Linked DNA regions of Arabidopsis thaliana. The protein of the gene in region 1 interacts with the protein of each later gene in a pairwise test. Each region holds a gene or a part of one and is shown on either strand. Other genes may lie near its edges.

Region 1 (4,940 bases):
TCTTGTAAACAAAAACACAAGTCTGTTAGTTGGGGTTTGACCTAATTGGTTTACATGGTAATCAGAAATGCATGCGGCTTCACTACCCTTTGACATTAGTCGGAAAGCATTCCAAACTCGGAATAGTGACAATTCGAGGAAAAGTCCACTCCAAAACATTTTGGTACGTTTCCATCCGGACTAACCGGATCAACCGATAGAGTTTATCAAACAAGAAAAAAAACAATGGTTTTGTTAAACAAGAAGAGAAGGAAGTAAAGTTAATCATTTGATCGTCAAAATATGGCGTAAAGGATTGTATGCATTTTGGTTAACTTAAGATTTGGGATCTTGAATTGATCACTTTCAAACTCTTTCTGATAATAGATATCGAGACTATCCAGAAAAGATTTAAGGCTTGATCAAGTGCCAAAAAGGTTTTCGGTATCCAATATGATGGACCAAAATCTTGTATTTGAATATCGAATGTGTAGAAGGTTGACAAGTTTGGTTCGAATTCGAAGTTCGAACCAAACGCAACACTTTTACATGAAAATCGTTGGCACCATAAATAACACTACTATGAATTAAAAGAAATAGAAAGACATTTTACAAAAAAATATGAGAAAAGTGAAAAGACAAAATATCAATATAGTTTTATACAACAGAAATAGATTTGATCAAACAATGGAAGTTGAAACCAAAGCCTCTCCTCCTACAAGATCTTGAGGGGGACAAAAACATAAAGAATATATGATGTAAAGAATTGAATCAATACAATTTGTAATACTAACCAATTATTAGCCATCAGAAGTTTCTTTTCACTGCGAGAAAACTCGAAGCCCGGCCTCTAGATCCTCCAACTTGATTGTACAAATCTCTTCAGTGTCAACACACTCAAAGCTAAGTCGGAGATCAAGATTCTCCCTCGCGTTAACAAGTAACGTGTCCACCAATCCTCCATTCATCTCTTTCCTCTGCTTTTCCGTTGTTTCTGCCTCTATCAGTGACGCTATCTCCTGCAAAGTGCAGGACTCATGCAATCTGAAACCATAGAACAGAGTGTCCTCTCCTTGGTTGTTCATCTTGATGTGTAGTATCTGCGCCAGTTCCTTGGCACTGAAGTCGCTGAAATTGAAAAACTTTGTGACCCTTCTGCAAAACCCTTCGTTTGATGCGATCACACGCTTCATGGGCTCGCTGTATCCTGCAAATATCACCACAATTTTCCCTGTGTCCATGACTGACATGATTTCTTCCAGAGCTTCTAGACCGTAGTCCTTGTCGTCCGCCTTTTGCATCGGGATCAATCTGTATGCTTCATCCACAAACAGAATTCCTCCCTCAGCTTCTTGGATCTGTCCAGAAATTGAAAGTTTTAGATTCTTGAAACCAAACCCACAAGTAAAACCAGAAGATTATGAACAGTGTTTTCACCTTTCTCCTGGTCTTTGGTCCTGTATGGCCAACAAACTCACCCACCAAATCTGTACGCTGTACTTCTGTTACCTTATCAGTTGGTAAAATTCCAACCGTGTTAAGCAGCTTCCCGAGAACTCGAGCTACCATGGTTTTACCTGTGTTTTGGATCAACAAAAGCAGTCATGTATTGGTTTGATTTAAAGACAGAGATGTATAATCATAAACCATTATCCTTTCACCTGTTCCAGGGTTTCCAAGAAATGCCATATGCGGAGGTCTTCGGGTTCCAATATTTAGCCCAAGAGCCCTTCGCCTTTCATCTAAAAGCATTCCTTTCGCCCATTTCCTCAGTTGTGTCTTCAGCTCACTTAATCCAACAATATTTGATAACTCATCCTCAAGTAGTTCCATCTTGGCTTTTGTCTTACCACATTGCTCAAGCGCACTTCTTTTCCTCTGCTCTTGGAGAAACCACCGCAGTAATTCCCGTAACTTCTCACTGCCTTGCCCTTGAGGCAGATGGTCCAAAGGAGTCATCCCTTCCTGTAAATACAAACTCCCACAGCTATTACACAAACAATACCATAATTCCCTAAAACAAAAGAAACCAATAATCTCAGAGGTGGAACATACATTATCTTTTGCACTGCAATCTGCGTTATGATCAAGCAGTGTCTTAACAGTCGAGATCTCTTTAGCAGTAATTGAGTACCATACCGCAAGATGCAACGGTGTCATACCATTCTACATAAAAACCAAAACCAAATCAGTCCAAACTATCGTCATAGTTGTTACTTCCCACCTTATAATCAATCAAATAGAGGAAATTACGCTGGCTTTAGCTTCGATAAAAGCACCACTCTCAAGGAGTAGCTTTGCAGCTTCATTACAACCGTTCTTAGCTGCCATATGCAATGGAGTCTCACCATACTAAACAACATTGAAAACGATCAATGACAAATCAAAAGCTCAAGCAAAGAAGAAAACAGAAAGCAAACCAAACTCACAGTATTCATTGCTTCTAACTCAACTTTATCAGATCCAGTCCAAGCGAGAAGATACTTAACAATATCAACATTACCATTACCAGCAGAAACATGAAGTGGCGTATGATACATCTGCAATACTAATCAAAGTCAATACAACACACATTTCAATAAAGTTTGCTTTTTATAGATTCACATGCATATACAAAGCTTGAAGATCATGAATCCTGTCGAGATTCGAAATCAGACCCTATCTAAAAGTTCAAATTTTGCATCCAGATTCCAAAATTCAGCTACAATCTAAATCGACCCACCGAATCAAACACATCCCGGAATCAAAATGCATACATAAAGAAAGAGTCAAGATTTGGACATTACGACGGGATTGCGTTCATTGAGAAGAGAAGGATTGTCTTTAAGAAGTCTCTGTAAAGCAATAAGATCGCCGGAGAGAGCACAATCGTGAATTGTGGTGGGTCTAGCGGATCTCAGCCGCTGCCCTCCACCGTTTTGTCGGTTCATTTCTCTTCTTCTTCAATCCTCAACAACAACAAGAAGACGAAGAACTCTTTTCTTCCACCAAATCTAATCTCTTTTGGGAAAGATTCTCTCGAGAGGATTTTGCGGAGAATCAACACTATCGAAGAAATAGATTAGAGAATGAGAGTACCTCCGCGTCTTCCTCTTTCGTCACTAGTCTTTTCTTTGGCGTCTCTTCTTTCTTCATGGTATTTGAAAAGACTAATTTACCCCTACCTGACTTTTTATGTTTTTTTACTTTCCTGGCGTCTTCCTAAACCCAGCTAAGCTTTGGTTGCCCCATTATTTCATTGATTAACCTAATCATATAATCACTATTACAAATTACAATTATATTTCTCATTTCACTCTTAACTAACTTTTTTAAAATAAAAAATTATAGCTACGGCCGTAAAATACCTTATAGATTAAATGAGAAGTATTCTTAAAATTTCATTATCTTTTTTAAAACAAAATTATCATGTTGATGTATCATTTTTGGAGAAATTTTTAGTCTATTTAAATAATTATCTAATTTTTAGTAGACTATTTAAAAACTTGGCCATTAGTGTTATATATAAATAAATCAAACATATAGGAAAACGAAATTCAAATTTAATAAATCAAATTTTGAAGCAAATAAACTATTCATGATTGTTTGTTATTTAAATTAGAAAAAATACGTTGATTTATTAAATTTGAACAGTTTATTTGATTAGAATTTAAAAATATACTTTAATACTTCAGATTTTCTATAATAATACAATTGATTTGATGATTTGATTGAGGTAGCCAAATGTTACTGATCCATTCAGACACATATGCATACTACACATAATTAATTATTTTCTTTATTTTTTTATCTCTTTCTAGTTCAGAAATTTCAAATTAATAACTTTATTTTATACGAACTTTACTTAGTTTTATCTTTGTCGGTGGTCAACTACATCATTTGTTTTGTAATCTTTCATGAGTTTTCTTTTGATCAGTTTGAGCCATTATTGTCGATCATACTACAACAACTCATCTCTCTTACGAGTCACAGTAATGGATTGAACAATGTGAAGATCCTCTTAAAGCTTGCAAGTCCTCAGTTATTGATCGCTCTTATCTCCCATTTACCCATTGTGAAGCAGAGGGAGTATACGTTATTGTTTCATTCAATTCTTTGACATTATAGTGAATATTCTCTTCTTTTTGTAGTTGCCATTTGCTTCAGATTCTAATAGCCTCTCACAAACCAGATGTTGCGCCAATGTTGGTCCAAGAGATTTCCGGTTTTTTTCCCCATTTCGCCACACACAAGTATGCAAATTTTCTCGTAAGACCTGTTGTTGAATATGGAGCTGGTTCTACTGCCTCATTCGTATTGCGTAAGCTCTCTTGTGTTTTGGAAGCTTGATGGATGACTGCTATGGAAACTATGTCCTCCAATCTATCATCCGAAGGTACGTGATAAGCTCCGGAAGCTTATCTAAGATGAAAAGAACAGAAAGAAATGGAGGGAGAGAAGTATTGCACCTTTACGGTGAAGAAGAAGAGAGATAAGAGAGAAATTTAGATTGATATTGTTGTTGATCGTTTTCGATAGAAAAAATGTTTATCAGCTACACGGAGTACAAGCCAACACATCGCCACACATGCAGACTTTAAAAATGTCTCGTTAGCTACACGAAATATTGACATCACATACGAACATACACGACATCCTACTTTGACCAGAATCCGGCATTACCCAGTATTAACCGGTGTTGACCGATATTGACCAAAATTTGATAAGAAGAAGAAAAGTTTAAGTAGAAGACAATAAAAGGAAATTGGGCTTAACACTAAGCCTAAATCAAAGCCCCACTAAAGCCCACTCATCTTCAGTTTTGGTTTGTATCAGTATGCTGCCTTTGCTCCGAGATATCAGATAGAGAGGCTGAACTTGAGGCTAATGTTTGGGATAGGGAAGTAACTAAAACTTTGGAGTACATTCGTAATACCAATGTTTGAGGTATGAGTTACTGAACATCGTAGAAATTATCATTA
Region 2 (4,925 bases), 2.8 Mb from region 1:
ATGGGGACGCAAACGCAGCCACCAGCGCGGTATTGGTACTTTTCCCATATTTCTATAATCACAAGGACATGAGAGTGGTGAGGTAGCGTTTTGCGTTTTGAGTTAGCAGCGGCAGCAATCGGTCTACCTCAGTAAAGATAAGAGAGCTCGCAACCTACTTAATCTTTAATAATTTTAAATACCATTTAAGACATAACCTCTCAACAATTTTAGATTTATTTAGTTGTCATCAACAAATTTGCCCACAACTTTATCTTGGACTTTTGGCGAACAAGTTCAAACAAGAAATAATCCAAAACATACCAACATGACGTCGTATGAGGTCTTCCCATGTCTACATTTGGATCCAGCCATGTAATCGTGTAACATGTGACTTGATATATCCACTTATACAAAAAGCTGTCATGCCATTGGATTGCCATAAGCAGGCGTAAATGTGAATGTATGATCATAAAGACATTACATTATCACCTGTCGTCTTACTGCAAGTTTCATGTCCGTTAGTCTATGTATTAATATGAATTTAAACTATACTATCTTCTTTTTTTGTCTGCATTGCTTACTATCATATCATAGAGACAAAAAGCTGAAAAACAATATTGAAAATAAAGTTAAAGTTAAAAGCACTAATAATTACAACCACCACGAAACTCCTCATCATCAGTGCCCACACATGAAAGAAACCAAAAAAAAAAAACCAAAATTAAAAACATCTAATTAACGACCCCAACTCTAATTCCCGCCATATTCTTAAAACTAAACACTGAAAACGTCGCCGCTTCAGATCATCGAACAGACTCATGTCTCAAGTCTCCTTTCATCTGATGGTCTTACCCCACCCGATCTGCACCCGATTGGCGCAACTCCTGGATCCTTCTCACCACCTCCACCATAACTGGCCGCTTGTCTGGGTGCTGCTCTGTACAGTCAATGCCCAGCTGCAGCATTTCCGCCATCTCTTCTTCCACCGAGACAACTGTCTCGATACTCATCAGCTCCGAGTCAAAAACCTCATTCCTCCACTCCTCTCTCGCCACTGAATGCACCCACCTCGCCAAATCCATTCCTTCCTCGTTCATCACCGAGTTAGACGGAGCTTTTCCGGTGAGCAACTCTAGCAACACCACACCAAAGCTGTACACGTCCGCTTTCTGTGAGACACGCCTCGGGTCAGTTACTTCTGGCGCACGGTACCCAGTGGCCCGGTTTGGGGTTGTGGATGAGGCGCTTACAAGCTGAGCCAGGCCGAAATCAGACACTCGTGCGTCATGGGAGTTTGTTAAGAGGATATTGGAGGACTTGACGTTTCCGTGAGAGCTCAGTGGGTCTTGTGAGTGAAGATAGTCTAAGCCACGAGCAGCTCCAAGGGCGATGCCTGATCTGACTTCCCAGTTCAATGGAGGCCGGCCTGCACCTTTGTTTCCTGTAACATAGCATGACATTAAGCTCAATACACAAAAAAAACTACTGTCTGAAAGTAGAACACAGGAGGTCTGGATTTTTCTTTGTTCAAAATACAATTCTAAAAGATCAATTATCACAGCTAGTCAAGGAATCCAAGGTTATCTACTGTCCCCACTAATTCATAGACGTCCTGTGTAAGCCATGTGAATGATAAAAACTCTTCACTGATCCTTGTCAATGTGATGCAGTACCAAACTAATCATTTCATGATAGAATCTTTGTCATTTCTTTCTTAACAGTAATGTATATTAACGAATCCATTACTAATTATGCCAAACTTAAGATTCAGCAGAGAACTATTAACAATAAAAATCAAATTTTTCGCTGAGAAAGAAAGAGAGGGGTAGTTCTCACCGTGTAAGAGAGCTGATAAGCTTCCCATAGGCATGAAGTCATAGACAAGCAGCTTCTCGTCTCCACTGTAATAGTACGCTCTCAAGGGCACCAAGTTCTCATGATCCATCGCCCCAACAACCTCAATCTTCTCCTTAAACTCTCTGTCCGCCATCGTTACATCCTTCAGTCTCTTCACAGCCACCAATGTCACCGCGTCAAGCACCGCTTTATAAGCTGTCCCGAACGTTCCTTTCCCCAGAACCTCCGCTGAAGCTCTCAACAGATCCTCAAGATCGAAGACCTTTGTCGCATTCCCAAAAAACACTAACTTCTTCATCCCTGAACTGTTCACTTCCACAGCTTTCACTGCAGACGGAGAGTACTCATTTACATAGCTCCTATTCTCCGGTGCTTCCACGGCCGCTTTCTCGCCAGGAATTTCAACTTCATGGTGCTTGATGGTTGCAAGGTCAATGGCCCTTGTTCTCTCGTTCCCCTTTTTCCTAAAGAGAACCATCAAAATCATAACAATCAGGGACAAACCAACCACACATCCAATCACTATTCCAGCTATAGCTCCACCAGAAAGCTTCTTCCTTTTCTTCTTCTCCTCACTTCCTTCAACAGTTCCGGGAATATTGCCAACAGAAATTGGCTGGCTTGGCACAGTTCCCTCATTAGAGCAGACAACAAGCGGTTTGCCGCAGAGAGAAGTTCCCACAAACGAATCAGAATCAAACTTCTGCAAACTCTTAGGTATAGATCCGTTCAACAAGTTATTAGAAACGTTGAACTGATCCAAAGACAAATCCAAGTCTAAAAGAGAGCCAGAGAGCTTGTTATTCTCCAGGTACAGAGTCTTAAGCCTAGTAAGGTTTTTAAACCCTGACGAGATCTCTCCACTAAATTCATTCTCAGCTAGATTCAACCTAACAAGGTTACTAAGACTAAACAAAACCTCCGGAATCTCACCGGAGAATCTGTTACCCTGCAGGTACAAACGCCGAAGATCGGAGCAGCTTCCGAGATCCAAAGGAAGAGAACCAGTAAGACCATTGAGACGGAGACTAAGCGTCCGGAGCTGAGTTAAATTACCAAAAATACCCTCCGGTATATGACCGGAGAGCGTTTCACCGGGAAGACGAAGAGCAGTAACACGACCACCGTCGCATAAGACGCCGGTCCAGTTGCATGGTGAGGTTTGCTTGACGTCCCAGAGTAATGTACGACCACCGACGGCGGAACGAAAAGAGAGAAGAGCGGATTTGTCGGCGGCGAGATCTCCGATTGACGGAAGAGGAAGAGAAAGGAGAAGAATCGAGAAGAATATGGAGAGATTGGACATTGACGGTGTGAAGAAGAGTCGCATTGTAAGAAACAAAGAGAGAAACCCTAGAAAAAAGCTCTCAGTGAAGAAGCTGTGTGTGTGGTTTACAGAGAAAGAGTGAAGCTAGTCAACACTCTTAACACTCTCTCTTTCTCTTTTTCTCCACTTTTTGTTTTTTTCGAGTTTTGAAATTTTTTCAAATTAAAATCTAAATGTGACAAAAACGACAATTTCTATACAACAGTGACGTATGTCTTTATATGCTTCGACAAAAATATTTGTATTTTTTTTTTTTTAATTTCTATTATTGGTTTTTATGTTTTAACTTATTGATATTATAGAATCTTATGTGAATCATTCGTACCACTAAGCTGTGTTGTCTTATCTAAATTCCAACTGCTAAAGATTATTAACTGGATTACAAAAACTTAGAGTTTAATAATCAATCGGATTAACAAGAAAATTAGCAAGTGGGTGTGTGTGTTTATGGAGAAATGGAATACAAAGGTTTTGATTATGAAATTCCCTGCATCTGAGTAAAGTGGAATCACTCTTCTCAAGATAACACTTAATTCTATGTATTTTTTTTTGTTTTGCTTCTTTAATAATAAAATTGATTTTTTCTTACTATAGTAGTATGATAATGCATGGTTGTAAAAGAAAAGAAAAAAATGAACATGGGTATGCAGAGAAAGGTAGGACCATAAACATGTAAAAAAGCCAACAACAATAATTTAACAGCATTCAAAGTAGGCTCTTTTATTTACAAGTAACGCATTCTCTGTTTTTTTATTGTCTCCACTCTCTGCATATCAACGGCATCAATCTAAAGGGTCCCATTAATCTTACTATCTTACCAATTTTTCTATCCATCGAATAAATTATTTCATGGTCCACAAAGGTAATATTATTGTGATTCATATTTTGGATAATTTACAATAAAAGATGAAAAAAGATTCACGACGGTTACATTGATATGTGGTTGGGCGTTACATTTTAGAAGAAAAGAGTAAAACTATATGAAGTGTAGTAATTTAATGGATCTATTTTCGATCGCACATGTGGATAAACAGTTTGGTAGTTGGAATATTGAGTTGTTTTTAAGCCATTTAACAAAAGGTATACTATTGAGTTGTGTTTTTAACTATCTAGCTGGCTTTACTATTGTTTTACTTTGGAAGATAAAGACGTTAGTCATCATAATGTAAATACTAAGTATAGTAGCTGTGTGTTGAGACCCACTAAGCAATAAAAGACTATACTAATAGATATGGGATTATGGGAAACCTTTTCTTGATTGCCTAAAAAGGTTCCTCTAATGAGAGAGGGACAAACAAAGTAAATAAGAGGACTGAATTGAGTTCAAAGCATAGTTCTGTCACGGTTTAAGCTGGTCTAGCATACATAAACATTTGTTCAAGTAATAACATTCCTTTCGTTGTATATCACAACTAGGCTCTTAACCATATATAAATGATAAAACATACATACAAGATCATATCTCTTCTGCGTGACAAACAATCTCTAGAAACTAGAATTGTATGACCGAGGGCCTTTTAAATCTTGTAAAAAGCTCTCTGTTACTTGAAATTAAACTTCTACCTGTGGGGTTTCAGGGTTTTTGACGAAATTAAGTTTCTTTCTTTTGTTTCAAGCGATTACCCTTCTTCTGTACCAATGCAACAGCCGAGGTTATAACGCACAGAGCCAAGACTGAAAAAGCAATTGAAGTCTCTGACACTTTCATTCTTCGTAATGGTAATGATGGGTTTAAGCTCATAGTCCCAAATTTCGTTCT

The links. The genes of interacting proteins can lie anywhere in the genome.
Region 2: the proteins of AT3G24530 (region 1) and RLK902 interact in a protein complementation assay, tested with the Arabidopsis thaliana proteins (one large-scale study listed by BioGRID).

What each region holds. Positions count from the first base shown.
Region 1 is NC_003074.8:8,944,878-8,949,817, forward strand, and holds AT3G24530 (AAA-type ATPase family protein / ankyrin repeat family protein), read right to left. Parts: upstream 3,141-4,940; 5' UTR 2,910-3,140; coding exon 2,766-2,909; exon of another isoform or gene 2,520-2,765; coding exon 2,409-2,519; exon of another isoform or gene 2,332-2,408; coding exon 2,233-2,331; intron 2,146-2,232; coding exon 2,035-2,145; intron 1,945-2,034; coding exon 1,641-1,944; intron 1,557-1,640; coding exon 1,417-1,556; intron 1,338-1,416; coding exon 801-1,337; 3' UTR 508-800; downstream 1-507.
Region 2 is NC_003074.8:6,104,336-6,109,260, reverse strand, and holds RLK902 (receptor-like kinase 902), read right to left. Parts: upstream 3,354-4,925; 5' UTR 3,170-3,353; coding exon 1,819-3,169; intron 1,424-1,818; coding exon 831-1,423; 3' UTR 524-830; downstream 1-523. Other genes in the region: AT3G17830 (Molecular chaperone Hsp40/DnaJ family protein), read right to left, coding at 4,758-4,925.